Linked DNA regions of Styela clava. The protein of the gene in region 2 binds, or shares a complex with, the protein of the main gene of each other region. Links are inferred from orthologs where the notes say so. Each region holds a gene or a part of one and is shown on either strand. Other genes may lie near its edges. The genes, in order: integrator complex subunit 7-like and 26S proteasome complex subunit SEM1-like.

Region 1 (17,023 bases), on a different chromosome or scaffold from region 2:
AAAAGACATGAATTAACATAAAAACTAAAAATATATTGTCAAACCTCGCAAATACATTTGGTGGCGGTGTTGCCTGACTCAGATTGGACAGGCAGAATAGGCTACTAATCTTTATTCTTGGTATAGCATCCTTCCTACGCACACAAAACCACTAGTGAAGTGTTTCCCAACCCGAGGTCACAGAAATGCTGTCATACTCGATCTGACAAAAATCTATGATAAACATCTATGATCTATGATGAACATTTCTATGCCTAAGTGTGAATATTTTAAAAATGGCAAACATAAAAAATAGGAATCTTACAATAACTTTCTGTAAGTTAGAAGAACTTCGTTCTGAACTATCATCCACAGTTTCAACAACATTTGACAAAAGTTCTATCAGATTTGATGAAAATTTCTTCAAAAGATCTGGCTTTTTGCTGAAGAAAAATATATAGTATCGATTTCAATAATCAAAAGATTATGGACATACAATGGAATTTACTGAACAAATGATTGAAAATCCCAACATCAAAGATGACTAAACTAAAATTAACAATAACGGGATGCACGCCACAGGTCATGTACCAATCCTTTTTATGAGATGTTTCAATATTCCAAACTAGGTTCATGTAGAAACAGTATTTTGGATGCAATATATTACACATAAATATATATCAGACACCCTTTAAATAGTAAAACATCAGTTTGGCCAGCTTAGCTCCAAAGAAGAAAAAACTTATCTACTGATCATGGTATTCTGCATTGTTGCGACTTTCGAAATGGAATGATTCATCTGTACTGCACAATTGACAACGCAAAACAGCTATTTTCTATCACTTATTTTTATTCGCGTTTTCATACCTCTTAGAAGCAATTGAAGCCAGTATTTCACATAACATTGAAGCAACATCTCCATCAGGTTGGCAATCCAATGTTAGTAAGCTCACAACAACTTCTATCAACCTGGAAATAAATTGGCAAAAGATATATTTTGGAAAAACCCCCAATCACAAATTCTTTCTCAAGTGAACATGAATTCCCATGATCTTGTTAATATATTTCTATATAACAGCTTTGTTTGAAATAAAAATGATTCAAATATAAAAACACTCATTATAGTTCAAATTGGATCCGTTGAATAATTAATATGTTTTGTAATATTTTAGAGTAGGATTCTCATATTTAAACTAGAGAAGAGACAAGCCGATAGGTCGACTTCATCATATCACTCCATTCGGTTATGGGAATCGTTGGCCAGTTATTAGTTTTCAGATGCATGAACTTGATGGTGGAGGAAGCTGTAACCGACCATCTGATACATGACTCCCAGTCCCCAAATTATGTAGTTATTGTCAATCCTTTTATTTTCCTATGCGTTTCCAATCATTTTATACTTCCTATACACGCTACGATGATTCGAACCTGCAAACCCGAGCAGAGGTGCGATGGCAAGTGTATTTCTAACACTTAACATGATGTACCAACTGCTGATTTTTAATGAAAATAAAAGAAAACAAAAAATAATAATATATATCACCTTATAACAACTTCAGCATCACAAACTTGACAAAGTTCACTAATTGCTGGAAGAACTATCTAAAATAAACAAGAACATCAGAATAAATGGCCAAAGTCAATATTATTGAAATGACAACAGGAACAAAGTAAAAGACCATTTAAAATGCCAAACATGTTGTATTGAGAGATAAAATTCCAACAATTGATTCAACTTACTAAAAAACACCCAATCACTCCTTTCAAACTGTAGTCAAAATGAATCCACATTTTTATATGCATGAAACTTACTTTGTACCAAATTCCAACTATCTTCATGAAACTGGTATTCGAAATGATTGAATCCAATAATTTATATTAGAAAAGTTTACCCTTGGAGAGTAGTATGAGTTAGAATTTTCATATTTATCCGTTAAGATAGCTTAATTGTATGGCAAACCACAGCCTCTCGTCCGATTACCAGACCATGTTAGGTGTGGGATTAATTAACCAGCTATATGTTTCAGGTGTGTGAACGTGATTAAGTCAAAATCATATTCAGGCAGTGAATTTCAATAACCCAGGTCAAAAGGATAACTCTTATTATTATTATTAACTATATATTATCTTCCCTTGGAAATAAGTACATTAAAAATTTCAGTAACCCATTTTGGATTCTAAATTCCATTCAAACGAACTCATTTGAAAGCCTTACTTCTAATGTTGATTTATCTTTAGAAGAATAATCACTAGATGGAGCAAGAATGAACAACAATGATTCTACAGCATCAGCTGACTCTTGTAATAATTCACTTTGTAAAGCAGTTGATCCTTGGTCAGATTGTGTAGCATGAGTTGCAAGCATAGCTAGTAATCTACTTGCTAATGCTGCTTGTCGTACATCTCTGTCGTAACAACATTTTCTACATAGATTGATAAGATCGCTACCTGTTTAAAAAAAGATGTTAAAAACTAAAACATTAGGACTATAATGATCCATCCCTAGCATAGGGTTTTCAAATTTTAAAACTTTTATTGAAAAACAAAAACAGGCACATAAAAATGAAAACACAAATTTTCGACAAGATAATTATTTACCGCCAAAAAGGCCTTTGCCATAATAGCTGTGCCTAAAACGACATGCCCAATTAGTCACTCAAACAGATTTATTATAGTCTTGTAATGTTTGCCCTAAACCTAGTAGTTTAGTGAGTGGTTGCTTACATAGAGACTTGCTTACGCCAAAGACCAAGTAAATTAAATAATTATTTGTAAATTTTGAATTCAACTTTAGTTGAATAATTCTAATGATGACAATAAAATCAATTAGTTAGAGGGCACTTCAGATATCATTATCAACAGGATATATAAAACAATATTTACCATCGCTAAGATTCAAGTGTAACACTGTATTGCCACTAGCCAATGTACAAAGTACTTGAAGTATAGCTCCTTTTAATGACGATTGCATTGCTGACAATGAATAAGCCTGAAAAAAGAAATCAAAATGCTTATACCCACACAATAAAAGCATCAATGGAATTGTATAAAAATGTCTATTCTGTGCTAAATGCGCATAAATATTATTTGAATATCTATATCAAAAACATTATCTACAAAGTTAAATTAAAACAATAATAAATGAGCACTAAGAATCATGACAAGATAGAATAATTTTAATAATGAAACTGCTTCAAGCGCTAAACAGCATTTATTGGCATGTTATGCATCACCATAATTCTATACAGTTTCAGTATTTTCTTGGAATTCCAGTGTTCACCATTCACTTTACTTAGAGATAAGTCTTCTCTACATCTAAGCAAGTATGTGTGTCTCTGAGAACGAAAGCTACCTTGCAAAGTTCATTAGTGTCTTCTATTGACCAAAGATGTGGGCCAGACTTAGCAAGCATATTCAAATTTTGTAGAGTGACAGTTTTAACTGCTTCTCTTGGATCACATCTCAAATATTGCAGAAGAAGGGAAACCTGAAAATATATATCAATGCATAAATTATATGAATTTAATTTGACAGCAATAAAAATTGTTAGTTAGTTGGTGTAGTCTATACTAGCTTCTTCGTGTAGCCGCTGGTCACTAGTCAACCAAAGAAAAAAGTTTCGAATCATCTAATCATGCAAATAATTCCAATTGATCTAAAACACTAGTCTTCCAGACAGTCTATCTAGATATCAATTTAAAAAAGCAAGCTAGTCAGGTATACAACCAGAAGTTGCTTACTTGGTATTCTTACCTGTGATGGAACATCAACTAAAGAATGCATTGATAAGCTTGTCAATGTGTTTAAAGTTGTCACAACAAAATCTTGTGCAGGATAGGCAGGCAACAAATCTTTCAAGACAGCTCTTGATTTTGATGAAACCTTACGAGAATAACATTAAACAAAGGTAATACAACATTACACAAAACTAAATATTAGGAAAAAATTGTCTTTGATTGTGGTGATTATAACACCTGTTACATTTCGGCCACTTTCCAGCATGAACTGTGTATTATTGAAAATATTTATGAGAAATATACCTGGACATCATAATGCATATGCTGAAGAACCGGAATTAACTTCAGTTTAATTTCAAGCGGTGTTGACAGCCCTGTGAAGTAGTAAATTTTTAAGGAGTTTCAAAACCAAACATGGTAATACATAGGGGCTAAATAATTAGCTACAATATAATATGAGAGATTTGATTGGTCGACTTTAACATGAACTGTTTCATGCCTTCACTCCATACAAGGCTGTTCACAAGCAATCTTTTATTAGATAATGTGATCTCATACCCAGCATCTTTCCTGATGTGGAAATCAGATAATCAATGCTGAACTTAGAAAATCTAAACTTTAAATACAGAAACAATGATAAAATGAACATCCATTTTTTAATAGGAATATTTAGTTTGAGTCATAAAACTGATGGATAAAAAATACATCAATTTGGAATGTTCTAAACACTATATAGATATCCATGTATGATAGTTGACAGCACATACCCTGTAACATTGTTGCAATCTTATTGCAAATACTTGTAGCAAATTCCCCCGAATGTGAAGCAAATTGAATAGTTGCATATATTGCAGCTTCCTGCTCAACACGATCATGCGAATCCAAACCTTGTCTTATACTGTGGTGAACACTTTTTTCATCACTTATTATACAAGCAATACTGCCCAGCATCCTGAAAAATTACCAAGTCATTAACAGCTACCGGTAATTGAAATTGGCTAATTCAAATCTCATCTCACCCCCCACGCACACACACATCTACACCAGGGTGATTGACAGGGGTCCACCAGGGTGATTAACAGGGGTGTAGCCAGAAATTTTCATGGGGGGGGTTCTGAAATTTTTATTTGGCAAGTTAGATCGAAACAGCTAGCGGGACTAATCGACTCTAGAATACGCGTGTTTTTATTAGTCTTGAGGGTCTAAAAAGCATTTAAAGCTACGAAAAATTGCTATCTATGATACAGAAAAAAGATTTTATTTTTTTTACATTTCAAAAGGGGGGTTTCGACCCGCAAAACCACCCCTCTGGCTACGCCACTGGTAATTGATCAGGCAATTACAAGTCAGAAAGATCCCGGTCCTCCCAAATATTGTTAGAGATCAGTGGCAGCTCGTAAAGAGCCTTGCTAAGAGCGAACAAAGTGTGTGAGCATCATATTAAATAAAATAAAAAATGAGTAGTGAAATATAAGTAGTTAGCATGATGAAATACATTTGGTAAGGAATATAATTGTATTGATCCAGCTTTCGAAATAGGCCTACTAATGGTTCACAATGAATAGATTAAGATCCTAATTGCAACAAAAATGAACAAAAAAAAAATATTGAGATTGTATGCGATAGTCGGTCTGGTAGAACAAGGTTGAGGAACTCATTTTTAGAAAACCAACCTTAAAGTTATTGCTCTTGCATATGGATCATTGCTATGAATAACTACAGAAATTCTTCTTCTAAATTCTGTTATGTTGAGAATTTTATCAAGATGTTTATTGCTTTGCTGAGACACTCGAAGTATACAAAGACGAAGAAAATTATTCCTGAAAAAATAATTTGTCAGTTTGTCGATGTTTAAAAACCGAGAATTTCTATCCATAAGTATATACATAAAAATGATCGCTGCGATTTGTTCGAACTAACAAAAACTGTACCTACTTCGTGACAAATATGCTTTTAGAGAAATGATAAAAACCCTAATGTTTTATTAATCAAGATTCAAACTGAAAACCTGAATACGACAATAGATTGACTGCGCTTCATCTAACATCAAGTATCAAAATACGATGCTTGAGGGAAATATATGAAGAGATTCAGTTATAGTAGGCCTATATATATAAATACATATGTTGATTTACACATGTCAAATAAAATTGCTACACATTTCATAATTCTTCATGACTGTATCAGTGCATACCTATTTTCATTACTTCAAATGCTTGATCATCATTAATAAAAAAGGCTGCTTTACGCTACCGTTTTTACTAACACAATTAGTCTATAGCCTTAACCAAATTTATTTTTAAGAAATATTCATTTCTGATAAGGAATCTGATGTTTACCCAACACGAAACACATCTGCCAGCTTCAAGAATGCAGAGTTGATAAGAATTGGGAATGGAAATCTCTCAAATAATCCAGGAAATCGAACAATTGCTTCACATTGCTGGCCAACTTTTTGAGCACGAAGACCTTTGAAAGAATATTGAATAAAATAATATTTGAATATCAGGATACTGTGGTACTGTTATATAAGTATAAGTATAAGTTTATTTCGACTCCATAATCAGCAAAACAATAAAATGAATGCTAAAAATAAATAAATAAAAACTGATTATGAAATCAGGAGAGCGAACAAAACCTTAGATAAGGTTTAAAACGTACAGAATGTATATAAGATGGAAGGTTTTGCCAAGAAGATGTGGTACGTGTTCACTCACCTAAAATAATTGAAATATTTCACACACGCTCACACGCACCCACACACACAACCATATAGAAGTTATTAAGTAAAGGGAACATGAAAAATTACATACTGGTAGTTAATAAAAAATAAATAAATAAAAATTACTTGCCACACCATATGTTATGTTACATAAATTAAAAGATAGCAAAAATTCATGGCTCGGCGGTGTGGCGCTTCGTGCTAAGCATTACTGATATGCTCTGATTGCTCTGCGTGGATTCTCAGGTTCGAATCTTGCGGGGGATGGAATGGTGGTCGGTACAGCTTCCTCCACCATCAAGTTCATGCATCGAAAAACGAATACCTGACTGACTAATCCCATATTCGACATGGACTGGTAACCGAACGGGAGGCTGTGGTTCATCAATGGATTAAGCCGTTTTATTGACTTTGCTCTCCCCCAGGATAAATAAGTAAATCCTATCCTATATCTAACTCTTTACACTTACCAGTCTGCCAGTGAATTGCTAATATAGGACAGTAGGAACAGACTATTTTTGCACAGAAACAAGTAAAATAACTCCATATACTGATATACCCGGTACTGATATACTGATATATATACTATTTTCAATATTGTGTAAATGGTCATACAGTCACAAGTGAGATTGCCCATGTTATGTATCCATTATTCTATTTTGTTACATAAACATAAATCAAAACAATCCAAAACGTAAGCATACAAACAGTAGGCAAATATATTAACAATAGAATTTTACTTTTATGCCATGTTAAAACCTTATTATGCCATTTTTTGTACGATGGCGAGTTCAAATAAATTATTTTATGTTATTTATTTGTTCATATGTTGTATTCATTGTACTACTGACCTAAGAGTAGATTATTACAAGCAGGCTTACCTTTATCAAGTTCCATGAGCGCCGAGTTGGCATCTTGATTTTGTTCGTCCATCATGATTGACTTATGATTTGTAATGATAGGCAGACGCCAAAATATTCAAAGGAAAAGAGGAAGCCTGTTTACAGAATGGCTAGCGAAATGCGATGTGCTAAGTAGATCCTCTCGCCACGAGCAATCGTCTTGAGTGAAGTCATGCGTGCAGGTATCGTGAAATCACGTGTTATAATTGAAAGAGAAAAAAAGGGTGATCGTTCTCTTCGCGGGGGAATTCGGTTTGCGTATTCCATAATACTGTAATACGTACCGTAATACACTTGGGGAGGAATCCTTGGCATGGTTATGTTGAGCATAATTCAGTGATTTGGGGTTCATTATCGTCGACATATTATTATTATTCTGTGACATCGTCGTCCATAAACTTCCGGATTTTTTTGGTACACTCTCTGCATTTGAAACGCGATATCAGGATACTGGGATATGTGCTAAGTTAAAATTATCACGAGGATATAGCCTATTTCTGTATTTGAATATGGATAGCAAAAGTATGATTGCATAGTTTGCTGCAATGCATAAATTTGTCACTGAAGCACATTGTACAGGGCAGCTCTCTGCCTATGATTGGTGATGTAAAAATATTGTAAGAAATTGAAAAGTCTTAGAACAAACTTTTGTGCAATGAATAATTCATATCTGTTCCAGTTCACAATAATATCTGAATATGTGATGTAAAACTGTAATAGAGTAATGCCAGCTGTGTCTGTTCAATAGTTGCAGATTATTTCAGTATATACATATTTGTTTGGTACTTCAGTAGGCTACTGTAACAAACCAATGTTGCAATATGTCTGGTTTGAATGATGACTTTCCTGCGATTGATAGCACTGTACTGGATGATCTTGAACGGCAAACAGAAAAACTCTCTAACAGCCTTGGCAATATAGTTAAGAAACTGACTAATAAACTACACGAGACATCAGCAATTACTGTGGCTAATTCACAAACATATAGCAGTGCAATTGAAGCTATGGGAGTTGAGATTGATGACTCAATGAAATCGATGTACATGCTGATTGCTCATTGTGAGGAACTTGATAAAGCAATGGTTCCTGTGTATAAAGTTGGTCAAAGCATCAAAAAAATTCAAAATTCTCTGCTGATGCTAGAAGCTCAAGTTGCTCAAATACCATGATTACAGTTTTTTTTTATTCAGACTAGGAATCTTATGTATTAGTTTATGAGTCTTCGATAAAGTAATAATAACTAATTCTTAATATAAAATAATAAATATAGAATCATTTTGTTTTGACATTCAAATTTTTTTTTTATTTCAAAAAATTCCAAATTTTACATTATTGTTATGAATTGTGAAATACAATAATATACTGCTGTACTGATATACTGCTTATATATTTAATCAAATGAAACATGTCTATTCAAGTGTTATATTACATCAAAGCCATTTTTAATAGGCATTTCTATTTGCAGATTTCAACAAGTAATATTAACTAATTTGTAATTTCTATGCAAGTGTTAGGACAGAATTATGCATTTTATTGTTTTACCTAAGTTTTATTATTTATTTTCGATGGTTTGAATTTGTTTTTGCTTTGTTTGATTATTTAGGGTTGAGCCTGATTATTAATCTATTTATTTAACTTCGAATAATATTAAAAATATTAATTTGGTTTTACATCTGACAATGCTTTGATCTCAGTTTCAGTATTGTATTATATTCCTAATGGCCGAGGTAAGTTCCAGTAATTCAAACGATCATTCCCACAATCGTAAGGCTTTGACTGTAGGAACAAGATATTGTGGAACTGTCACAGTTTATAAAGAAGATAAAGGATATGGATTTTTTTCGGTCCCTAATCACGATAATGTATTTTTTCATATGACGACAATGCGAAATTGTGGTATTACATCAGGAATATCGAGGGGTGATAAATTTTGCTTCGATGTTAAAGAACACATTGGTCGTGATAGTAAACTGGATTTTAGAGCAGAAGCAGTTACAAGACTTGAACGAAATCATCAAATGCAGAACCAGGATAGCAGGAAACAACCTCACAAGCATGATAAACACCAACATGGCACGTATAGTAATGGTAACTCCGGAGCATTCGTTTCGATCCCACATCCTCATGATGTCAAAGTTCACGGTAAAAAAGAGGTTTCTTCGAAACATGGTGAAATAGTTGAAAAAAATTTGTACAGAGAAAAGCACGAACGGAGACCAAAACCGAAGCCTATAGATTTAAGCTCAGGAAAAATTCGTGTTGGTCCCCCATGCGTTGTTCCTGCAATGAGGAAAGGGCCAATTGTAGTCTCTGCCACTGGGCCTAATTCTGCTGGAATGGCCCCAAGACTAGAGGATCCTGAAGTTGTGAGACTGAAAGAGAACATTGGTAAGAAAAAAACACTTTTTCGCAGTTTAAAACTAGATAAACTTCCAGATGGTGGTAGAAGACTGAAAGATGAAATAAACAATTTGGAACTTGAACTGCAAAAATTATCCATGAAAAGCAAAAATAAAGATAAAAGTCATGATTCAACTCCTTCAAAACTCATTGACAAAGAGAATCAACTACCTCTTTCAAACGCTGATGCAATGCCTAAGCATACACGACCATGGTTAGAGTCATATTCAAGAAAGCCTGATGCTCAAGGTGCTGTAATGATAGCACCTCCTATGGCTTTTAACTCTGCTCCTGATAGGAAACTTACTCAAACAAAACTTACGTTCCCAAAAGCGGAACCATTTGGGGCGAGAACAGGAAAATTAGATCTTAGTGCATATGATATGGGTCCAATGCAATTTAACGATGGTCCGTTATATGGAGGAAGAATGACAAGTGCTCGTCTGACTGAAGTCCGTCAGGTAATATATTATACCATAGTTGTACTTCTAATCTTCTTGAGAATATTTCATATTGTAATCTAAAATTTAAAAGCTTAGCTTTTTATTATCGTTTTTCATTCAGTCAGCTGGTCAGCATTTTTATTGCCTAAATGTTTAAAATTATTCATACCCTAATTTTGGGTAGTATTTACTATTTAGTATCCGAGATATAACCAAATATTGAAATGAGTTTCATGATTATTATTATTATTCCCAGATAACAAAGGCTGCAATTGAGGACCTTCACAAGTCTCTGGAAACGAGACCTGAACCCACAGGAGAACTGGATGATCCTGAAGGCCTGAAGGTTAGATAAATGAATTCCATCAAAAGATGTATGCAAGTGTGGTCCATATAAAAACATTTCTTGATACTTGGTCATCTTCTAAGATTGAGTAAGAAAATGCAGTTTTGTGTAAACGCTAGGGCTGGGAATTTCAGGGAAACACCTCAGCATGACGTTTGACATAATAATTTATAATATTAACTTGTTACGTCACAATGGCTGCAAAGTAATTTCAGGTGGTCTTATCCCAGTATCAATCAAAATTATTCATGAAGCGAGATAGTTTCATGATTGCTCTTCTGCAAAATGATATGCAGCATGCTTTGCACATATGGAAGTATTTTAGTAAAACCCGATTCCATTATTAAATGTTATTTATGTGACAAATTTTCAGTGTTTGATGTGCAAATTCTATTTTGAGATACCATAAGAAAAACAGCATTACCTGCACACTTGTTGGATGACATTAAGTAGGCCTATATGATTTTGCAATAAAATTGTGAACTATAATATAGGCTACTTCGACCGAAAACTGATTCTGAATTTATCATTGTCAAATTTTCATAATCAGCAATATTTTTTTGAATTAAAATGCCGCAGAAGATAAATTTGCGATGACGTAATCATTTTTAAAAAATAGTACATTATAAAGAGGATTTGTACCCAAGATGTCAGTCAACGGTTAAAATAAATCAGGACCTCCTGAAGTATACGCACCAAGATGGCCCACAACCTGAACTCAGGTTGTGTACCAGGTTAGGGTTCAGGTTGTGCGACATCTTGGTGCGCATACTTCAGGAGTACCATAAATTATAACCATGAACGGTGAACCAAAACGTATATTGCACATATACTGAAATAAACCCTGTTTCTCTACAGGTAACATTAATGACCCATCAACGACAAGCACTTGCTTGGTTAGTGTGGAGAGAACAACAATCTATGTCTGGTGGAATTCTGGCTGATGATATGGGTCTTGGCAAAACTCTTACGATGATCTGTCTTATATTGAAACAAAGAGAATTGTCTGATGAAAACAAAGACACTAAAATCCAGATTAAAGAAGAGGATGACATCAAAGACTTTAATAGCTCAAGTGAATCAGACGATTCTGTTATTTTAATTGAAAATGAGAAAACTGAATCAAAAATCAAACGGGAAGTTAAAGGTGGCAGTAAAGAAGAAAGTGACATTGGTGAAACAGGTAATTGGATTTGTTTTTTGAAGCATGGTTGATTTACAATTGTAAGCTTTAGTATACATTCCACATTTTAAAAAAAAGAGCACACACCCAGGATAACTTTTTTATTTGAAGCTCTGAAATAATATAGATATACCGCAAATAAGTTATTTAGTTTCAAACTCATTCGGTATAATTAACATCTATCTGCTGTACAGTGATAGTAACAAAAAATTATTTATGAAATCATTCTATGTCTCTAATAAAACTTCTAAAGGACTGTTCTACAGTAGCAGTACTTCTCATAAAAATATACTCATATTGCGTATCTGCGTTGAAATTCCTAACATAATTTTGCTAATACTGGAATGAAATTTTTAGAAAATTTATTCTGAAACTCATAATTGAACTGTGTGAATCATAACTCTTCTTTTTTGTCCTTTTGCTGTTCATCTCGGTTGTTTCTTTTTCAGAAAAAACTCCATTGATTGAGAGTGATTCAACTTTAATTATAGCTCCAGCATCTCTACTCTTTCATTGGGAAAAAGAAATTCGTAACAGGTCTTGTAACTTTCAAGTACCGGCATTTGGTGTATGAATGATAAATCTTTCATTGCTTATTATATTTTTTTAATATTATCCGAATGGTATGATAGGAAGTATCGATTAGAATATTATTGGAAATTATTTCAATTACTCTATATACAGTAACTAGTATTTGTATCATGTAGGTGTGATAAAGGTCTTCTCAGTATTCATCTATTTCATGGAAGTTCCAGGGAGAAAGAACCTTCAAGACTTGCTGAATTTGATGTAATTATTACAACTTATGATATAGGTAGGAAGATGTCTATGTAATTTCTACTTGAGGATATACTGGTAGGGAAATGTAATTACAATTGTCCAAAAATGCCTCATGCTAACAGCTGTCATTGAATTACAACTAGAAAATTATTTAAAAGCACGGCCCTTATTAACATTGGTTTGATCTGTAGTAATTCACCACGTATTGCCTTAAAAACGTATTGCCACTGGAGCAAATTTGCAAGCAAATATAATCAGTGGATAAGATTATTGGCGATATATTTGCCAAGTTAATATTTTTTATATATTTTCATAATATATACCGCTCGGTATGTATTTTTCTAATTTTGAACTAAAGTCAATACTTCTTCTGTTACAGTGCGACGATGTTTATCAGCAAAAGCTGAAGAAAAGAAAGGTTAGAAACTTATATACTCTAAACTTAAAAATTTTCCATATAACTTACAAGATTAAATTCTTCATTAGGCCTAATGTCGTGCTTTAGCGGTTGAACACTGAATATAAGATTATTGATAAACTTTCCCAACTATTTATATTGACAGAAAATACACTCATGCAAATCAAATGGAATCGTATAATACTTGACGAAGCACATCAGATTAAAAATTTTAAAAGCCAATCATCTGAAGCTGCATGTAAATTGGAAGCAAAGTCAAGATGGGCAATGTCTGGTAATATTTACTTATTTTATAATGATAAAGTTTGGATTAAAGTTTGCTTATATTTGGAAATGTCTCATTTGAAGAGTTCGGGTACTCTTGATGTTCACTGATATGGTTGTAATAGCACTGGTATCAAGATTTATAATTTTATATAATGGTATATTAAATTTAATTGGGAATGTATTGTTAAATGCATAACTTGGGCGGTGGTTAGAAATCAGAATTTCTGTTCTAGATTCAAACTATTCTTTGCCACCAGTTTCGCAGCAGTATTAGTCAAAACTATAAACCTTTTACCTAAATATTAGAGAATAATATATATATATATTGAAAAAAATATTTCACAATAAACTGAATAGATGGTTAGGAGGTGATGCCACTGACATTTCTGGTAGCCCCGGCTCTAGCTTCACCTCTTAGAGCGAGCTTCAGCTTTCCAGCCTAGTGGGAAAAAGGCTTATTTATAAGAATCTTCTCTTGTTTCACTGTATGGCTTTAGTGTAAGACTTTGGAGGATAGGAATATGTAGTTTTCCTAACCATAGCCAATTTATTTCACTCTCAATGTGTATGTGGTGTGCCTGTACTCAAGATTTTTAACATACAAGTACTCGTAGTCAGGGGCGGACACTTTCCATAATTTTGGGGGGGCGAACTTGGATCGCCTACCGGAAAAACACCGCGCCGTGTATCGTCACGTCACAATAACCTGTCGATGTCATTCTCTAAGTACTAGCATGCCATTTCGCTACTCATATATCGAGTACCTAGGCTGCTTTGCTCGGACACGGAACTTGCGCGTTACTGAACCAATTTCTTGAATTCCGCGAGAATTAGCCCACTGCTCTTGCTAACAAACAGAAAATACCAAATTTGAGGAGTCGTATTAGGTTATTGTTTCAATTCCTAGTTCTGCATAAAGCGCACTAACGCCGTTTCGTAAAATTAGAAATGCAAAACAAGGTAACAAGCTATTGTGCGAATTTTTTTCCTAAATTTTACCAAGGAATTATCATTTGAGTAGTAGAATTGCCATTATTGCCGATTTATTAAATCATCATTTAAACTCGAAATACCATTCAGTATTCACGCAATGACTTTGTAGGGTTTTTATTTATAATTTAATACGAAAATAAACAGGCACAAGTTCAGGCGCGCAGCCAGGATTTAAAAAAAAGGCGGGGGGGGGGTAAAAGTCGGAACTTCCCATTGCCGTCTGCAACAAGCACCGCGATTACGCGCTCGTTAAAAGAGCCGCCTATTTAAGAGTATAATGATTTTTCTTTTGATCCATGACAGCCACGAGATTCTAAAATGTTCTTATATATTAATTTAATAGTGTGCAACGTAACTCGCGGTTGCGACTTCTTACGTCAAAAAAATATAAAAATTAACTAAAGTACTACGGCGATATGTGGACATAAAAATATGAGATAAGCTGCCTGATGTATTTAATTTTTATACCTATTTTTGCAATCTTCCGAACTCGTTATCGCCGTTACAAAAATATCGATATCTGATATAAAATCCCATATAGTACCATTTTAATTAATACAATGAAAATAATTATAAAGTATACTAGTAAATCAAAAATACAAATTCACCGCCTCGAAATCCACGCGGAACAGTCGCCGCGATTACGCCACTTGTTAAAAGAGCCGACTTTATCAACGAAAAATGATTTTTCCCTTGTGCAAAGTAATCAATCAAAGACCGATACGGGCAAATTCAAAATGTCTTGATTTATTAATTTAATTGTCTTCAATTTAAACTGCGGCTGAGTCGACAAAACAAGAGCCACTCTAAAACACAACGGCAATCCGCGGACATAAAAATGTGTGGTAAACTGCCCGTTTGTATATTGTTTTGATCCGTATTTTTGCTATTTTGCGAATTCGATAAATTTGAGATGTACTTGTCACACTGGCTCCACTCAATCGCAATGTTGTCACTCCGATTATTTTTAAAGATAAAACTCTTCGAAAAATCCCTAAATTTTCTGTCAATTCTCACGTAGTAGAAGTTATTTCAGTACAATAAAAATACATAAAATAAATACAAAAAGTGATCGATTATACTTTAATTATCTTATATATCATCACAAACCGGGGAAAAGTCGCGTTCCCAGCTTTGTTTGTTAACACGAAAATTTTCGACGTCAATTTAAAAGTAATGGGTAAAAAGGCAAATCCCGCTCACAATTGACCGTGTTTCGATTTTAGTGACGAAATGTTTTTAAAAGTCAAGCAAACATAATTTGTGCCGTAGGCACACGAAATTTTGCGATTTTTGATGCCTAGAAAAGCGTTTTTAGACTGTCGCGGGCCTCAACAAAACTTTGTTGATTGTTTACAGTTTTAATTTTAGTATTTTATATTGCCGCTTCTTAACTTTTCGACATAGTAAATGCTTTGATCTTTGCCCGCAAATTATGTTGGGCCTTGCACGAAATCCAGAACGTGAAAAGATACGTCCAGCGGTGAAAATTGTACTTAACAACTTTAGATCTAGTTAATATTTTAGCGATAATAATTAATTGTTGTAATGAAACACAGTTTGCCTCTTTCACTTCTCTCGCAAGTGCCAACAATAACACTATTGAAAGATTTTGACAATGAGAAAATCATATTAAATTGTACAAAAATGAATTAGTTGTGCAAAACCGTGGCGCGTGATCGGCGGTGCGTTTGAAGACGGAGTATTACCCGTGTGGGCGCGCATGTTTTACGAAAATGTGAGGTGCTCCAAGGCGCTCTGGTCCACATTATTGTAAGAAAACAGTTATAATATCGGTAACTATCAACCGTTTAATTGCGCTTGACTCTCGCACTTTTCGGAAATGATAATTTTGTAGGGCGGAAACAACATGTATTAAATTTTTTTACGAAATTATTGGGGGGGCGACCGCCCCCCCTCGCCCCCCGGGTGTCCGCCCCTGCTCGTAGTGTAAACTATCTGGCCATCACCGACATGATTTATTAAACTTACCAATATCAAAGATGGGAATGTCGAATTTAGTTGTACAGGAAATTAAAATGTATATCATTCCATTTAGGTACTCCAGTACAAAATAATCTTACAGACATGTATGCAATGTTAAAATTTTTACACTGTCGACCATTCGATGAATATAAGGTTTGGAAACATCAAGTAGATAATAAAACAACCAATGGAAAAGAGAGATTGAAGACATTGGTTTCATGCATCGTTTTGAGAAGGTATTTTTTATTGGCCGAGTGCCTTTATGATTTTAGGATTGGGTATAGTTTAGGTTTGAAACATTGTATTTATTTACCAACATTGCACTAATCAATTCTTTCTAATAACTTTTCTTTAAACTTTTTTATAATGGATTTAGAGAGAAATCACAAAGCGATACATTTGGAAAACCACTAGTCAATTTGCCGAAGCGGACATTTGTTACTCACAAGTTGAAACTGAATGACGTGGAAAGAGAGGTAACATTGTATAGATGGGCGAATGCATGCAAAATTCCATTTCCATTAACACAATGTTAACACAATTTTTTTTAATCTAGGTATATCAAAAATTGCAATCAGACTCTCAAGCTGCATTCAGAAAATTTCAAGATAACAAGAAACATCCTAAAAGTAGTGCATCTGGTCATCTTGGTAGTTCATCTGAGGGAGGAAATAATGAGAACAAAATGACTGCAACTACTTTGTTAGTTATGTTGTTGAGGTAGACAAAACTATAACTTACCCATTTTTTGCTGTCTGTGTGATGCATTTTCAGTATTTACATCTAGTGGTCTTGGCGTCAGCTAGATGTGACATCTGTTTTTTTGTTTTGTTTTGTCAGTGACATTCTCCAATAACTTTTAATATT
Region 2 (15,957 bases):
CTGTGTAGCGCAACGCTAGCTTACTTACTGACTGTGAATGCGTTATTTTGTTTGTTTCGTTGTTTCCCACTAACAGTGTTAGCGAACGTATCACATGTAAAATCAATTCTAATTGGTTCCGTTCGGACGTTCACGTTCTTTTTGAAGGCGTTATCTACAGAAAAGCATGCTTGAGCAATAAGCAAATCTCAATGCTTGAAAACGGCAGACTATTTCATTATTCTTTATTCCTTTTGCTGTACATAAAAAATGTAAATTCGGATCATTTGTATCGTTAGCGTCTATTCCTTTCTATTTTTCGAACTGAACCCAACTCGATATTTAGACAGAGAATATAATATGCGCATTAAATGTCGATGACAATATGATCAATGAAGACAGCCGGGATGGCTTTAAATGTAGGCCTATGTTGTAAAATCGGAAACTGTAAAGTTTCAGAATCACAGCTAAGGGCTCGTGTTATTGGAGGCGTCCCGCTTTGAAGTCAAAAAAATATGGTAACCCTATTTATTTCTAAAGTCTTGACATTTGAAATGAGAGTTCCTCTATCGAATACAAAATTGAAGAAAAATACGTTATGTTTCACATTTGCATCTCATGTAAAAGCGTGCAATTGAACACGTCTAGGGTTGACCGTATCTCTCATATTCATAAACTTGACAACTGTTGGGTTGAATATTTATCAGCTCATCACAACAATCGTGATTAAAAATCTGTGACGCAAACCGCCCACACAACTGAGCTATCGTAACGAGGAATGTGGACGGGGTTGCAAAGTCAAGAACGTGAACAACGCATGATTCTCATCGTGGCACATTCAATACATATAGTTCTAACATAGAAAATACAGGAATTTATTTCTGAATACCGTTAAATTGTAGTACAGAAATAATGATCATAAAACAAAAATATAATCGGAAGGTGCGGACGAGACTGCAAGGCCGGACTGCTCACAAAGAAAATTATGATTGTTTTCTGTTTAGGTTACAAGTCAATGTGAAGTCCAGTAAATGATAAAGAACAAGTGAAACAAGGAAACACGGCCTATGTTCATCGACTGTTTAGAAATGTTCATGCGTGTGGGTTCTGACTTGAATAACTTAATTTTCAGAATATATAGAGGCTGAACGCAATAAATAAAACCTAATTTTTAATTATTGTTAATAAAAAGCCCTAAAATAATGACTTACGGCCAGCTGGGGTTAACTTTCTCCTTCCGACATTCGAACGGATTAGTAGGGGCTTAGTAAAAAAATATGATTGCGTGAGGGGGAGAAATCCAAATGAAAGCCATTGATCGTCGGATGGCGAGGAGTTCGAGATTGCCGGATGAGCGGGAAATGGGAGAAAGGTTGCGCCAGAAGCGCTAGCTAAATTCAACAACGATAGAAGAGTGTTAGAAACGTAAACCATTGAAATGTCAGCATTCCACACGCGCTCGATTGACCTTCACTCAAACCTTTGGTATTTCGTTTGAAAATTAGTGCAATCGAATTTATGTGTAAATGGCCGTCTGGGGGATAACAACAATGAAGGTACCCAAAAGATGAAAAATGTTCGAAACGGCGAGCCATTGCTGGCGATTTTGTAAATGATTTACCGCTATTACAAATGTTACAGGTCTCGTGATTGTCACTTGGTCACGCGAAAACAAGCACGGGATGACGCATTATTCCTACGAACATGTTGTATACGAAGAATGTGTTCGGGTCACCAACGCTCTTATTTCAACAACAGATATTTTGTTAACATGGCTAAGCAAACAATATTCACGTGCTAGCATATCCGCACTTGATTTTTGTGACTATGCGAATCTGATTGATCTCTTTCCACTAGATTCTTTAATATTATCTCAATGTTCTTTACACTGATCAAATTTTTGTGCATACCATACGAGTATTGGGTAATATGTACCTCAATTTTGTTACATTATATTATAATATTCTAGAATCAGGGGTTCTCAAACTTTTGGCGTTGCGGAGCCCTTGAAAAGGTTGACTATTATTCACGGAGCCCCAAAATAAATGTTAAAATTGTTACTTTCTGATTAATATTCCTGAGTAAGTTAAACGTACTTTACCCAATTTAAATACTAAACACTTTTAATAGGGTTAATACAAGTCATAAATAAATCTAAATTTCAAAGATAAATTGTATAATATACTAAAGCTATAAATTTGACACATGACAAACATATTAATAAATTAGGGGTCGAATCTTTTCCCCTCTTGACATTTTTGGAAGACTTAAAAGGCTGCTAATAACGTGCGCGATTGCATTTTGTTACAATCGCCGATTGTTTTCGTCAGCATGGCGTGTTTTTGAACCTCAAACATCTTTACGCCGGTGTTTATTCTCCCTAAATAAAAAATTTCCTTCGGCATATGCATGTTTGTTCCACAATGACGACGATAATTGCTTTTTCTTTCTCGTGGGGAATTATGAGTTCAATGTGAAAAACATGTTACCATATTATAATCATCGGCGACGAAATGCTATAAATAATAGTTAATAAAGAGGTAAATCTGCAATTCAAATTTCTTGATTAAAAAGCGGCCTTCTAAAATATTAGAACTAAAACTTAAAATGGAAGATAACACTATAAGTTTTGTTTCAGCAGACTCACGTCAGAATAAAAACGCTGTTACAGACATCGAAAATCATAAAATTTGGTGTTATGTTAGGTTTTCGGTTATTCATCGTAGTAACTGCGAAATTGAAACACAGTCATTTAATTATGCGTGCGATGTACCATTTTTCCTTTCTGAAACTACCGACAGAGCCGCATGCACTAAAATAAATTTCTATCGTTCGTATTTTGCCAAGACCTTGTGATTTTTCAAACGGCGACATCTTGCTTAAAAATAATCTCGAGTGCGAAAGAACAAATAAAGTTTAACAAATCCCAAGATCGCAAAAATACGACTCCATTTTATTTATAGTTAGCAGTTTATCACGCAGTTTATGTTATTTTAGACTAGTATTTTATCATTTTAGTAATCCTAATAGTAATTTCGAATCGAATGTGAGTAACGATGAGCACAATTAAATCATTACAAGACCCTTTAGATGCTCGCATCGGTCATGAATTGAATATTTTACGCAACAGAGATCTCGTTATCCGTTTTTTTTGAATCGTCAAGAATGTTGCGCGTAAATTTCCGATTTCAATTTTGAACCTCCTCCCTCTTAAGAATCCTGGCTGCACTCCTGCTTATAAATAATGTCATTTTTTAATTCCGCCCCTTTGCCATATTTCGAGGCCATATTTGTCAAATTTCATCAAAGCTAGTATTGCTTCTAGGAACAGTTTTAAATTAGCCAAGTCAGTATTTTGAAAAGTAATCGAATAGCTCGCGGAGCCCCTGGGTTACTCTCGCGGAGCCCTGGGGCTCCGTACGGAGCACTTTGAAAACCTATGTTCTAGATATTTCAAAACACTTTCATAGTGAGAAGATTCGTAACCTCAAATATGAAGTCGCATCTCAGATTAGGGAGATTCCAAAATAGTTATTGAAAAAGATGACGGAAACGGCCCAACTATAATCGTCCAATGCACTTCTTAGTCTTTCGCAGTTTTGATACGTTCATGATATATATTAGATTTTTGAACCTGTTCAACTATTTTTGTACTCGTGTTTTGGTGATAACAGACTCTGAAGATCTTAAGGTCCTATTGTTAAATTTTATTGATACATATTCGCATTGTTTTCTGGTTTGACGAGCGTGTGAACTCTCTCCATCCAAGAAACTACCAAGAAGTGAGGAAAATTAACGTACTGGACGCAATTTTTGACTGCAATTGAAAGACACTTGGAGATGTCTGATATCGAATGTGACTCAATAGAATAAGCGCATTATTGCGTTTATACTTCGTTAGCGTCAGACGAATGCATTCCATCCCATGAATGACAAGAAACGGCCACTAGATAATATGGTAGTGTGGCCATATAGCGAATTGCTTACGTGACAACCCAAGCACCATTCTGGTCCTAAAACTAAAGATGCCAGTCTCGTTTGATGATTTTATACGGTGAGGTTGATAACATACATTCAAGCATCTGATATTTTTCAAAGTATGGTTGTTATTCAACAATGACATTTCCGTAACATAAAAAATAAATAAACTCTCTCATGTACGTTCAAGGCAAGCTAATAAAAATATCCACACGAATGTTTGACAAATTTAGAACTAACAATAATCAAGTTGACGTAAATGTAATGACAATGTGCATAAATCTTTTTCTGGAGATAAGCTGAAGTAGTATATACCTCTCTCTGGACAATGAATAGCTGGACAACTTATTTACAAATCGACTTCCCCCAACATAGTGTATCATTACTTATATCACAGTGTTAACTGATTATCTGTCCTTCACGTCCAAAAAATGCACATCTTATCAAGCAAAAATACAAAAAAAAAGATAATGAGATGGTACATCAGAATGTTACTTATGATCAAATATCACAGCACCGATTATGCAGAAATGCCAATTAGTAGTATTTACCAATCAAGATATTTGAGTACAAATTGATCTTGGAAAATACCAGGTAATCGCAATTAATGTACTAATATTAAGTAATAAGTACTGATTGCTGTAACAAAGATATGGGCCAATCGAGAATAATAAATACAATAAAAATGCTTTTACAATGACTATCAGAATAAAAATGCTTTTACAATGACTATCAGAAGATATTAAAATTCGCTACAGCAAAATGGCATTCAAACTACAGTCATTTATTAAATTGGAATAGTCTGTAAAGTACTATTGGGTGAATTATTTGACACATCCCAAAAATGACTATAAAAATAGATTAAATAGACCTATAAGACCGATGTTCCATGAATTACAATTTATAAAGACACATTCTAAATAAATTATTTCCTGTTATTAATATATAAAATTTGAACCATAGGCCGAATACTGCATAATTTTTTTGACTTGGATATTTGAATTTGATATATTTTACTGCAGTGTTATGATACCACATACCCAGCAGCGATGCATTGATGAGGCAGCTAAATGTAGTATATAATATGTCTAATGTTTTACTACTGACAATTTGATTTGACTACACAAAATTATGCTTCCAAGCAAAGCAGTGATCCCTAACGCCTTGGCAGTAAGAATGAGACATAAATTACACGCTAATGAAAACAAAATGAAAAAATATTAGGCATATCTGGTAACTTTTTGAGGAAAAAAAAAGAGAGATCGATACACCTGTGAATACAGAATTAACCATTGCATGCAGATTTCTACATGATATTCAATACATGTGTAACATATTGTTCATGATATCAGAATAGAGATCCAAACACTTGATCAATATAAAGGCTCCATGAAGTAATGCAGATAACTTCCTGCTTTTGTTTGCCGCCATATTGAACATTGCTTCAAAATTAATATTACATTAACTATTCATACTAATGTTTTATTTTTTACTCTTGTAATAGAAAATACAGGGCCAAGGTTTATCAAATAAATGGCTACTTAAATATCTATTAAAGTTACACTATCAGAAGTGGTTTTGAGCTATTTGGTGAAATTAAGTTGAAATGGTTTGAATCTTGAAAATGATCAATAATATGAAATACTTAACCACCATGCCTACAAATATATTATTGCACCAGTCTTGTCAGATATTCAGAATCCTATTACACCGTTAATAAATCCTAATAATCTAATGTAGGTGTAAATGTTTGAAGCATACAAAGTATATCATTTTACTAACTTCCTATCACAAAATTGATAAAAAAAATAATATAAGAAGAATGACATCAATGCGAGACATCAGAATACATATATCAAGACGAGTTACAATGAAAAGTGAAATTCATGGGAAAATAATGATGTACCAATATTATTATGAATTGGACAATTAAGGTTTCTTATTCTTAGCTTTAGGAGGTGGGGGAGTAGGACTGCAATCTATGTACTTATATGAGGATATTGTATCCTGTTCAGTATGGGAAAGATACTTTGACGTTTGTGTTGCTTGAAATTTAATCACAATATCATGCACTCGTCGCTTATCATTAGTACACAAACTACTCATAAAGTCTAACTGATTAGTTTTATCAAATGTCATTTGAACAGTTATATTGACAGGAAAGTTGTTTGTTAATGGGGGTACAACCACAGGGCCGTGCTTCAACTTCCCAGTGCCAACTTGCACTTGATCAAAAAATGCTTCAACTGAAATTTTTGTAATTTGTACGTGAAAATAGTTGGTGTTTGTAATGTTATACTGGTTGGTAGCTATAATAACCGTGGATGACAAATTGGTGTTTATATTCACCGAGTAGTTCGCAATTTTTCCTTCTGTTATTTTGACAGATCTTGGTAGAATGAAGAACAGTATAAGTCCACATATTATCAAGCACACAATGATGGCCAACATAACATACATTGTTGTTCTGCGAGGTTTTAGTCTTTTGTCATGATATGGAATTAGGGCCACAAGTTCATCTTCTTGACGTCTAGAAATTCGCCCCGTGCCTTGACAAGTGGGGCAAGTTTTGCCATCACTTCCATCGAACTCTATATATCCAAAATCTCTTTCGCCAGGTGTAGCATTTACATTTCCATCTGTAGTATATTCACTATTATTTTTAGTGTTTGAGCTGATGATGCTACCCATATTCACTTTATTTCATCCCATTAGAGTTAGAGACCAATTTATTCGGCTATTACAACATCAATCTTTGAAAAGAAGTATAGAATGGATTTGGATTGAAGGCTTAAAAAATTATTAAACAATACTTCAATTATAAAAGCTGGTCCGTCTTGCATGCTACATTGACAGACTGACAGCAGTCCGACTGCAGTACGAAACAGAACATTCACAAGATGTAAAGACAAAAAAAAATTAACGAAAAAAAGTATTGCAGATAATGGTTTATTGAAAGGATCAACATACAAACATTCATTAAAGGGAGACATGTCTGCATACTCACACACAATTCATTTTTTAAAGATATGCATCCTTTTGTTTATTTTTTTCTTTAGTCTTAATACACAGAGATGCTGAAATTAGAAATGTAGGCTGTAGAGTAATCTGGTGTTGAGGGTTTTATTTTGTAATGATCAACAGATCATATTGTAAAATTATTTCGAGGAATTGGAAAAATGTTAATAGTTGTCAAGATTTACATTTGATCCCGAAGATCTTCGGTTTATCGCAATATCACTGAGGGATGGGGCAAAATAAATATAACTTTTATTTACAACATATATCTGTATATTGCTGTATAAGTGAACATTGTAAGTTTCAAGAAGATTATAAATTGAATATACATTTCCATTCTTCCAAGACATTTAAATTAAGGCACTAAACAAAGTCATCATTACTGAGGGTTTTAAAAGTATAACAGTCCGAAAGTTCAAACATTCGTGTATCTTTTGTTTGTTTATTTCTGTCCCAAGCCTCGTTTAACCAGGTTTGTGTTTTTTGTAATTTTTTTGTGTGTGCCGTGGGCTGGCACATGATATTTCTCATGTTTTAAACTTTTTTAAAGGTTTTGCTCCCTCTCCAGAATTCTTTATTTTTTATTTACGGTAGGTGTATTATGGAGTTTTCAAAATAAGCTATCTACGGCAGTGGTTCCAAAACTTTTTAGAGTTGGGACCCACTATTTTTTACCACAGCTTATGGCGACCCATTTAACTTTAATAAATTAATAAAACATTGATGGAGTAAACAAATTTATTTTCTCAAATTGAATTTTCAGTGAAGCTAGTGAGAAAGATGAGCTTGTTTTTTGCTATTTTCCATAATAGACTTGATATTTATTTCGATTTCAGATAGTTTTAGACGTGAAAATTAAAAAGTTGCAGTTTATTCCAAAATTTGCTTTGTCACCGATCCTAATAACCAATGTTCCCTCTAATTTTTTGTAGTATGTGTGCGCAGAAATTTTGGTGTGTGCGCACTTTTTTGGAAATGAATAATATTTGTGCAAAAACCAATGAAGAAATTTTGGTGTTCTAACCGGGTAATAAGTGGGCCAACAACAAACTTTCTCAACCTGCCAATCGAGAACATTGTTACATTACATCGAAATACGTCTGTGTGCAGTAAATCTATGCGTGTGCGCAGCCTCTGAAAGCTGTCCTGTGTGCACGCGCACACCTTAGAGGGAACACTGCTAATAACCAACCAGTATGATTAATCAAAGCTTTCTACATCTTTTCACTACCCACTGAGATTTTTCTTGCGACCCACCAGTGGGTCCATAGTTTGGGAACCGCTGATCTACGGTATTTGTTATAGTAAATTTTTTCATTTCTGACGAGGCTGTGAGACGAGGCGACAGTTCAAAACAAGATTAAGCTGTTTTATAGACCTTACTTCAATTTCAACCAGTTATTTTATATGCCAAATTTAATAATAGATGCCAACAAACAAAAGCAAAGCACAAATGCATTAGAGTTCAAATATTAAAAAGGGCTAACTTAGTAATGACATGCCTGGCTGCTCGCAATGACACATGTCGCTAATTGCTCAGACACTCTATTAGTATTACTCATGAGTCTGAAGATTGTACACTTTTAAACTTTATGATAGAAAAAAAAAAATCTGAAGATTAAGCCGTGCAACCTCCCAGTACAGAAGAACGGTACCCATACCTGTACCAATACTACGCCTGAACTCGGAGATGAAGAAAGGGATACGGACACGGTACGCACGCAATGCAGAAGGGTTGGCGAAATATCAATCACCTGATTTTCTTTTGTTTCTGTTGATAAATAAATAAAGAAATATTTACGATATTTTATACATTCGCTATATGGCAGCAGAGTTCAGTGAGTGTCGTGTATTATTATGCTTACTCATGCTATGTCATGTTCACAATGTATGTGCGAATGTCCGGGATGAAAGTTGCTCGAAAATCATAAGGCAGAATGGAGATTTGAATAACATGTATAACATATTAATAATATACTGTTGGTAATTCTTTTTGATATTATTTTATTTGTTATTTTTCATTAAAAAAAATAAATGAAAAATAAAAGCCGCACGGCGCGTGAAAACTGTAAGAATATTGTAAGATAAGATTACCTATAATGCCTCGTAATTTAATAATAATAGTGAGAAATACCGATATTCATTTTTTTGTTATTTTTTTCTTGTGTAACTTTTGTAAATTTGTGATTTTAATACTGTAATAACAACTCAAAAATCTTATAATCATACCTGCATACCGGTAACAAACTGGATAATGGATTGGATAATAAGTGTAGTATAAGTATAAAATTATTTCCACTCTTTAATTAGTATTAGAATCAGGTGAGTACCGGTAAACAAACCTTAAGTCTGTAAGTATCGTTCAAAATATACTGAATACCGTATGAGATGAAAGGTTTTACAGGAATATATATTAGTATAAACCTATGCTTAGTGCAGTAGTGTGCCCCTTTTTCATCTTTTTACCTAACCTTTACTATCGATTTATCAAATCCTATTATAGTAATAAAACTTATTCTTTAAAAAGTATTCAATTCTTCGAGATAAATGGCTGACAAAGACAAGAAAGATGAACAAAAGCCAGTCACTGAACTAGGATCATTAGAAGATGATGACGAATTTGAAGAATTTCCTGCGGAAGAATGGACCGGGAAAGACAAAGAACCAAAAGTATTTTGGGATGAAAACTGGGATGATGATAATATAGAAGATGACTTTTCATCACAATTAAAAGCTATTTTAGAAAAATCCGGCCAGAAAGTCAAGTCATAATTTTATCATCAACGGCAAATATTGAACAATACAATGTATATTGCTTAACATTGGTACTTGATGATGAAATGGAATTTTCTTTATTGGTATTGATTTGGACAATTTGTTCGTTTTATAATTCAGTAATTAAACCACCTTCTGAACTTACACATGCAATACAAAGTCCACATGTGTATATTTTTTGTTGAATTTAAGGATTAACTTCTGTTTTCAATTTTTATTTAAGTTAGGCGTAATCGAGTGTTAGGAGTGTTTTGTCTATAAATATTTATAGGTACACCACAAGATTTTTTGCAGTGGATAAGTTTGTTATAATGAAGTTGTGTCTGAATTTTATTTTCATCATGAGTTATTTGTGGTACCCTGCACTGAAACCATGCCTGAAAAGTAAATATGATATGCTATAACATTTGAAAGGTAAATCTACCTACATCACCAATTTTTATATCTAGACTTTCATTTGGCTTGCAATTTACACATTGTATAATATGAAATTTGAGTTATTCTGGTGGGAATTGTAACTCTGAATGATGACTGACATTTATTTACAAATTGGACGTAGATGCTCTTCATAATGTTACTTTTTTCCACTAGTAATGTGTGATGAATGCTGTTAACATTCGATTCAATGTAGATTGTCTCAATGTTCAATGAACAAGTAACTATTATTTAGTCAATTTTCGTCATATGAAATATTGCATTTCATGGTTTTGTTTGATATCAGATTGATCTAAAATATTCTCATTGCCAGAATAATTGTTGGATATAATCAGCTATGAAATTCTGCAGATGTTCTGGTTGGTTAATTTATGTTTAATAAAAAAGAGTGTCCTCTGTTTTGTTATAAAATGTTGACCCTTTGAGAAATGTGTGAAAGCTAATCGTTGTTTGTTTTTCCCAGTCGAATTGTTTAATAATCAAATACCTAAATTGATAGAAAATGCCTGTACAACATATAGATAACGACGCAGCATTTCAACTCAGTTTTAACGATGCTGGTTCATCCCTCGTTGTCATAGATTTTTTTGCTACATGGTAAGTCTTTCAGATATAGATAGTAGATATTACATTTGAATATGTAATCGTTTATTTTTGAATTATCGAATTTGTCTCTGAAGTCTGAGTTACTGGTATATTATCAAATTGATAAAATTTAGTTGTTAGAACATTTATGTATGTAATATATTTTCCGAGTGGCATACAGATAAAGTGATAAGAACCTCATTAGTGTTGTGTGCAGTGTTATGTTGTAGAACGATTATAATCTTTTTTATTTTTAAAGGTGTGGACCCTGTCACGCTATTGCTCCAGTATTTGAAGAATTATCAAATCAATATGAAGGAGTTGTATTTCTTAAAGTTGATGTTGACAAATGTTTTGTAATATTTTTGTTTACTGTATTTATTATTTTCTGATTCATTTAACATTGGGCATGATATTATGATAGTAAGTTTGTTCAAAATTGTGTTTAATGATGTATAATAAGAGTGGGTAGATGAATAGGCTGATTGATGAATACGTTTATTTAATAAACCAGTCAAACACTGGTATAAGTCAAACGACTATTCAATTTGTCTGTATTATTTCTAATATTATGTTTTTATGAGCAAAAAGTCATTTTAAATGGATAGTTATTGTCATTAGTCTTTTATTTATTACTTAGCCATTTTTGGATGTAACAATTTACCATCCAGTTAATTACTAGCTATGAATATTTTTATCATGTATAGATTAATGATTGTATAAAATGTTTTTTTTTGCAGGAAACCAAAACAATCTATGGTGTTAGAGCTATGCCAACATTTCTATTCATTCGTAACGAAACAACACTTCATAAAATACAAGGAGCTAAGGCTGAGGAATTGCGAAACAAGGTTCATGAATTATCACTCGATTCTTCAGCAAATGGATCAAGTTCAGAATCAAGTGTTGGGATTCCTGGCATGGTAAGAAGCACTATCTGTTGCTTTGTTTTTAATTTGAACCAAAGCCTAAAAAACTTATGTTGTAGGCAAAATTAAAAAAAAATAATTATATATCTGACTTGGACTGATAACAGGATGGGGGAGGCTGTGGTTCTGTCAGCTCATCGACTTAAATAATAATACTAATAACAAATTCAAATTTGTTTAAATACTGTGACAACACCAATTAATATCAAATATAGTTATTTGCAAATTAATCTCTTTATTTCAGGTTGATTTGTTATCACAAGTTAATATATCTCAACTAACTTGTCTCAATGAAAGTGATGACCATACTGTCAAGTATATCTTCGAAGAAAACTCAGATTTGTATTTGGAATCAGACTGTGATCCGGAGGTATCAAATGCTCTTGTTCATACTGTGAGACTCCAATTACTCAAAAAATGAGGAATTTTTAAATGAGGCTGTTCTTAATTATGCCTGAACTCATGAATTTAATGCATGTGTGTACAATCTGCGACCCGCGGGCCAAATGCAGCCCTCAAGGAAAAAAGAGTGCCAATTTTGAATGATGTGCGGCCCGTGAAACAAGTTTTAATTTAATTCAATCTGGTATGTGTGAGCATTTCCAATTTCTTTGTGTTGCAAAGCCTATATCTGAGCTTGTGTGAAGCAAACATCACATTTTATAAGATCAATGACAAAAGTTTTTGTGCCTGCAGGCTGCAACTACCAGAAAGCCTATTTTGAATAAAGATGCGGGCCGCGGTTCCACCCAGTTAGTTGTATCTGGCCCTCCTGTATTAAAGTTTTATATAATTAAGTTTGAATCCAATATTCAATGCACTTTATTTGTTTGGTTTAAATTTTTTAAACACAACCTGTTATTTTTCAACTGTCATTCTATTTCAGCTTCTTATATCAGTCGAATTTAATCAGAATATCAAACTGCACTCGTTAAAACTGGTGGCTCCACATGATTTTGGTCCGAAAACATTGAGGTTATTCATAAATCAACCTCATAATATGGATTTTGATTCTGCGCGAGATGGAAAACCTATCCAGGAATTTAGGTTAGTTCAAAGTATGAGTATAGTAAACTTTATCAATGAGTTTTTGACTAATTTGAAGTAAAATTTTTCCAAGTCTCATGTTTTGTTTTTGTTGCATACATTAGCATCTCTGCTGGTGAAGCATTTCCAATAGACATGTTATGTGGATTTACACAAAAAAACTTGACATTTTTCAAAAACTTTCAATATAAATTTGAAATCATATTATGCTTTATTCTTCTCGATCTGAAAATCCAAATTATGCTTCTCTGTGAGGTAATGCTCTATTTGCCAAGCATAGAAAATGTATAAATCTTGACCTCAATTTGGACTTCTTCCATGAAAGATTTGCTGAGGCCTGCAAGAAATTAATATGTAAATCTAACTTCTATTTTAAACTATATTTCAGTCTCACAAAAGATGACATTTCGGAGAATGGTTTAATCAATCTCAGATTTGTCAAGTTTCAGAATGTACACAATTTAACAGTAAGTGCATTTTTTCTATGTATTTTCGCTTTCCAGAGGGAACTTTTTTGAGGGAAATGGTGATTAATGTATTTATTGGGCCTATGTGGCATCTCCGAATGAGATCTTTTTATTAATACTTATGTAAGGCCATATTTGCAGAGTCAAAAATTGGGTAGCCTATGTTAAGGCGAAAAGAGTTCTGAATTTTTGTGCATTGAGGCTGCACTAGGTTGAACTATAGATAGCCCAGTGGTCGTAATGTTGATCCTAACTATTCTGGTTCTATAGGTGAAAAATCTTGGGTCTAAAGCCCCACCCCAGCTCACCCATAGTGTAATGAATTAGGTAGGCCTTCTGTCTTATAAAATAGTTGTTTTTAGATATTTATTCCCGATAATCAAGGAGATGAAGAAACGACTAAAATAGAGAAACTCACTTTGATAGGAAAAACAGTTGCAACAACAAATATGTCTGAATTCAAGAGGGTAAATTTTTTTTGCTTTATCAAATCTGATCAAAATTTATTTCATTGATTTTTACTTAGGATAGGATAAATAGGACTAGGTATTGAATAATCTATGAAAATTTAAAAAAAATTGATATTATAATAAAATCCGACTTCATATTGTAAAGAGTGACCCCAAATATCATATATGTCAGATTATGGGCCATTGGGTCCTTTTTTTCGGAGACCCTAATTGTGGTTTTCTGACCGCTATATCAATGTACTCTTTAAGGTTGCTGGAAAAGAGGGCGAATCTCATTGATTGTCATCATTGGAAAGTTTCAAAAGAAGAATTTTTGTAATACTGAATTTATACTGTAGAAAATACTATTTGATGTTGGAACACTTTAATCAAATATTGAGATGGCAACTCAGGATTAAAATGATTAATTTGTTTGCATTCCATTAGGATTTTATGACTTTTTTCTCGTATTCATATTTTCTGGGTTTGCTGACATTGAAGCCAACTTATCAAATGATGGTGTTCGACAGAGAAGTGAAGCCAAAATTCAATCATTCACTACAACGAAAATATAAGTTTTTGAATATTCATAATTCAGCCTTGTAGAGGAGGATAAATTCTTATATCTCCATGTTAAACAATGTGAATTCCAAAATATCAGGAATGTTGCGTCTGATTTCATAGTATTCTCATTGGAGTAAAACCTACATTTGGTCTGATGCCCATTTATATGTACCAAGTTGCCAAGTTTGTGTTGGTGCACTGGTGGATTAATTGGAACTGATTTATATATATATATTGCTTAAACTGACTCTGATGGAACAAGATTGCTGCTTATTTCATGTTTTTCATCATATTTCCAAGATGAAAATTATCAATTGTGCAAAATTGTATGTAGTTATGTCTCTTGAACACCACAAGCCTAATTTAATAAAATGTAAAATATATAAATACATTCTGTGCAATTCTTTTTTGTCAAAGCCTAATTGTTGAATAGGTTACCTTCACAAGTGCTTCTACAGGATTACAACTTGGATGACTACCACTGTCACACAATTATTGCTTCTGGTTAAAAGAATTTTTATAACCGTCAAGTCATTCCGAAAACTGTTCGAGTTGCCCATATTCTCACTCAATACCTTATTTACTCAATTCTGATGGATTAAGTTTTAATAGGGCATGCAAAGCCTGTAGGTGCTATTTTAACCCTGATATCATTAGTCTTAACTCGCAAGGTTTTTCGTGTAATTTTTGGCAAAATGATAAACAACCATTAATATAAATAAAACTGTTGCCCAAGGAATTTAAAATTGCATTTATGGAGGTCACAAAATAGAAGCTAGTTTCATGACACCTCCTCTCAGCGATTCGCAAATTAGCCTAAAAACGATTGAATACTTTGCGATTCGATCTCGAATATTCAATTTTCTTGTAATTGTATTACAAACTGAATGGTGTGATTGTTCTGAAGCTTCTCTTAAAGCTGTGCGAGATCAGGTCCATTCAGGTAGACGTCACTGTTTTTTGTTTCATGGGAGGAACGCTAATCCCACTCCAAGCTCTAATAGAATATGTCAAATGCGTCTTTGACATATTACATGAGAAACGGCATTATCATGCTTTACCACCTGTCATAACCATCAAATATTCACACAACTTTATGCAGAAAGATTTATTAAAGCGATAGAGCATTGTGAACTAGAAGAATAACAAAAACATGTTTCTATTGAAGTTATTGCACCTGTCGGCCAAAAGTTATAGGCGTTTCGACACTAAAGTGATACAGTGGGTATAATTAACAATCATAGACTTGTAAATCCATGAAATAAATTATGTTGTTAGAAATATTCATTTGTGGTAGAGAACAAGTCCAGAAAGTAAGTGCTTCTTGAAGTAAGATATTGCTACATATGCAATGAAAGTGATAATGCTAATAATGGGAATATATGTGCGATGCGAAGAAAAAAATAAAATGGTTTATGTACAACGGTTTTCATGGTCGATCTTCGATTGGTCGGTCAGTTATTCGAAGATAATCTGTCAAAAATTAATTAGAGTTTTAAAATTTGATATATTGTCGAAAATAGGAAGTTCGCCATATGATATATTTCTATAATTAAACGAGCTTCTCAAAATTCATTGTAAAGTGCAACCTGATATTTCCTAAAAAAAAATTATAAACAGAAATTGGTCACTAAAAATTTGACATAATCGGATTGTCAACCTAGGTCTTAGACAACGATTTCCTAAATTATTTGTCAGTTGACCCAATTATCTACAATACATGTCTCTTTT

What was found.
Region 1: the proteins of 26S proteasome complex subunit SEM1-like (region 2) and integrator complex subunit 7-like are in contact, whole or in part, in a cryo-EM structure (PDB 8YJB), measured with the Homo sapiens proteins. The link is inferred for Styela clava from reciprocal best matches to the Homo sapiens genes SEM1 and INTS7. Residues at the interface, in NP_006295.1 of Homo sapiens: Ala36, His37, Val38, Trp39, Glu40, Asp41, Asn42, Trp43, Asp44, Val48, Glu49, Asp50, Phe52, Ser53, Gln55, Leu56, Arg57, Glu59, Leu60, Glu61, His63, Gly64, Tyr65, Lys66, Met67; in NP_056249.1 of Homo sapiens: Lys410, Leu413, Asn414, Val417, Leu448, His451, Cys452, Ala454, Ala455, Met458, Glu488, Val491, Thr495, Leu517, Glu518, Ser521, Asn522, Gly523, Trp524, Val526, Tyr527, Arg528, Arg531, Gln532, Arg535, Ser548, Leu549, Thr551, Gln552, Val553.

Annotation. Positions count from the first base shown.
Region 1 is NC_135253.1:7,952,367-7,969,389, reverse strand, and holds the start of integrator complex subunit 7-like, read right to left. Parts: upstream 7,521-17,023; 5' UTR 7,375-7,520; coding exon 7,320-7,374; intron 6,186-7,319; coding exon 6,056-6,185; intron 5,537-6,055; coding exon 5,390-5,536; intron 4,669-5,389; coding exon 4,484-4,668; intron 4,091-4,483; coding exon 4,020-4,090; intron 3,862-4,019; coding exon 3,733-3,861; intron 3,467-3,732; coding exon 3,332-3,466; intron 2,969-3,331; coding exon 2,863-2,968; intron 2,428-2,862; coding exon 2,195-2,427; intron 1,582-2,194; coding exon 1,523-1,581; intron 949-1,522; coding exon 847-948; intron 423-846; coding exon 305-422; intron 1-304. Other genes in the region: BLOC-1-related complex subunit 6-like, read left to right, coding at 8,162-8,509; transcription termination factor 2-like, read left to right, coding at 9,059-10,201, 10,440-10,529, 11,388-11,712, 12,162-12,249, 12,420-12,526, 12,872-12,910, 13,056-13,184, 16,230-16,392 and 2 more. UniProt on the Homo sapiens protein: Component of the integrator complex, a multiprotein complex that terminates RNA polymerase II (Pol II) transcription in the promoter-proximal region of genes.
Region 2 is NC_135260.1:14,912,019-14,927,975, reverse strand, and holds 26S proteasome complex subunit SEM1-like, read left to right. Parts: upstream 1-9,398; 5' UTR 9,399-9,522; coding exon 9,523-9,747; 3' UTR 9,748-10,648; downstream 10,649-15,957. Other genes in the region: transmembrane protein 106B-like, read right to left, coding at 5,887-6,648; thioredoxin-like protein 1, read left to right, coding at 10,688-10,782, 11,030-11,126, 11,511-11,693, 11,944-12,069, 12,586-12,746, 13,135-13,213, 13,576-13,680, 13,933-13,962. UniProt on the Homo sapiens protein: Component of the 26S proteasome, a multiprotein complex involved in the ATP-dependent degradation of ubiquitinated proteins.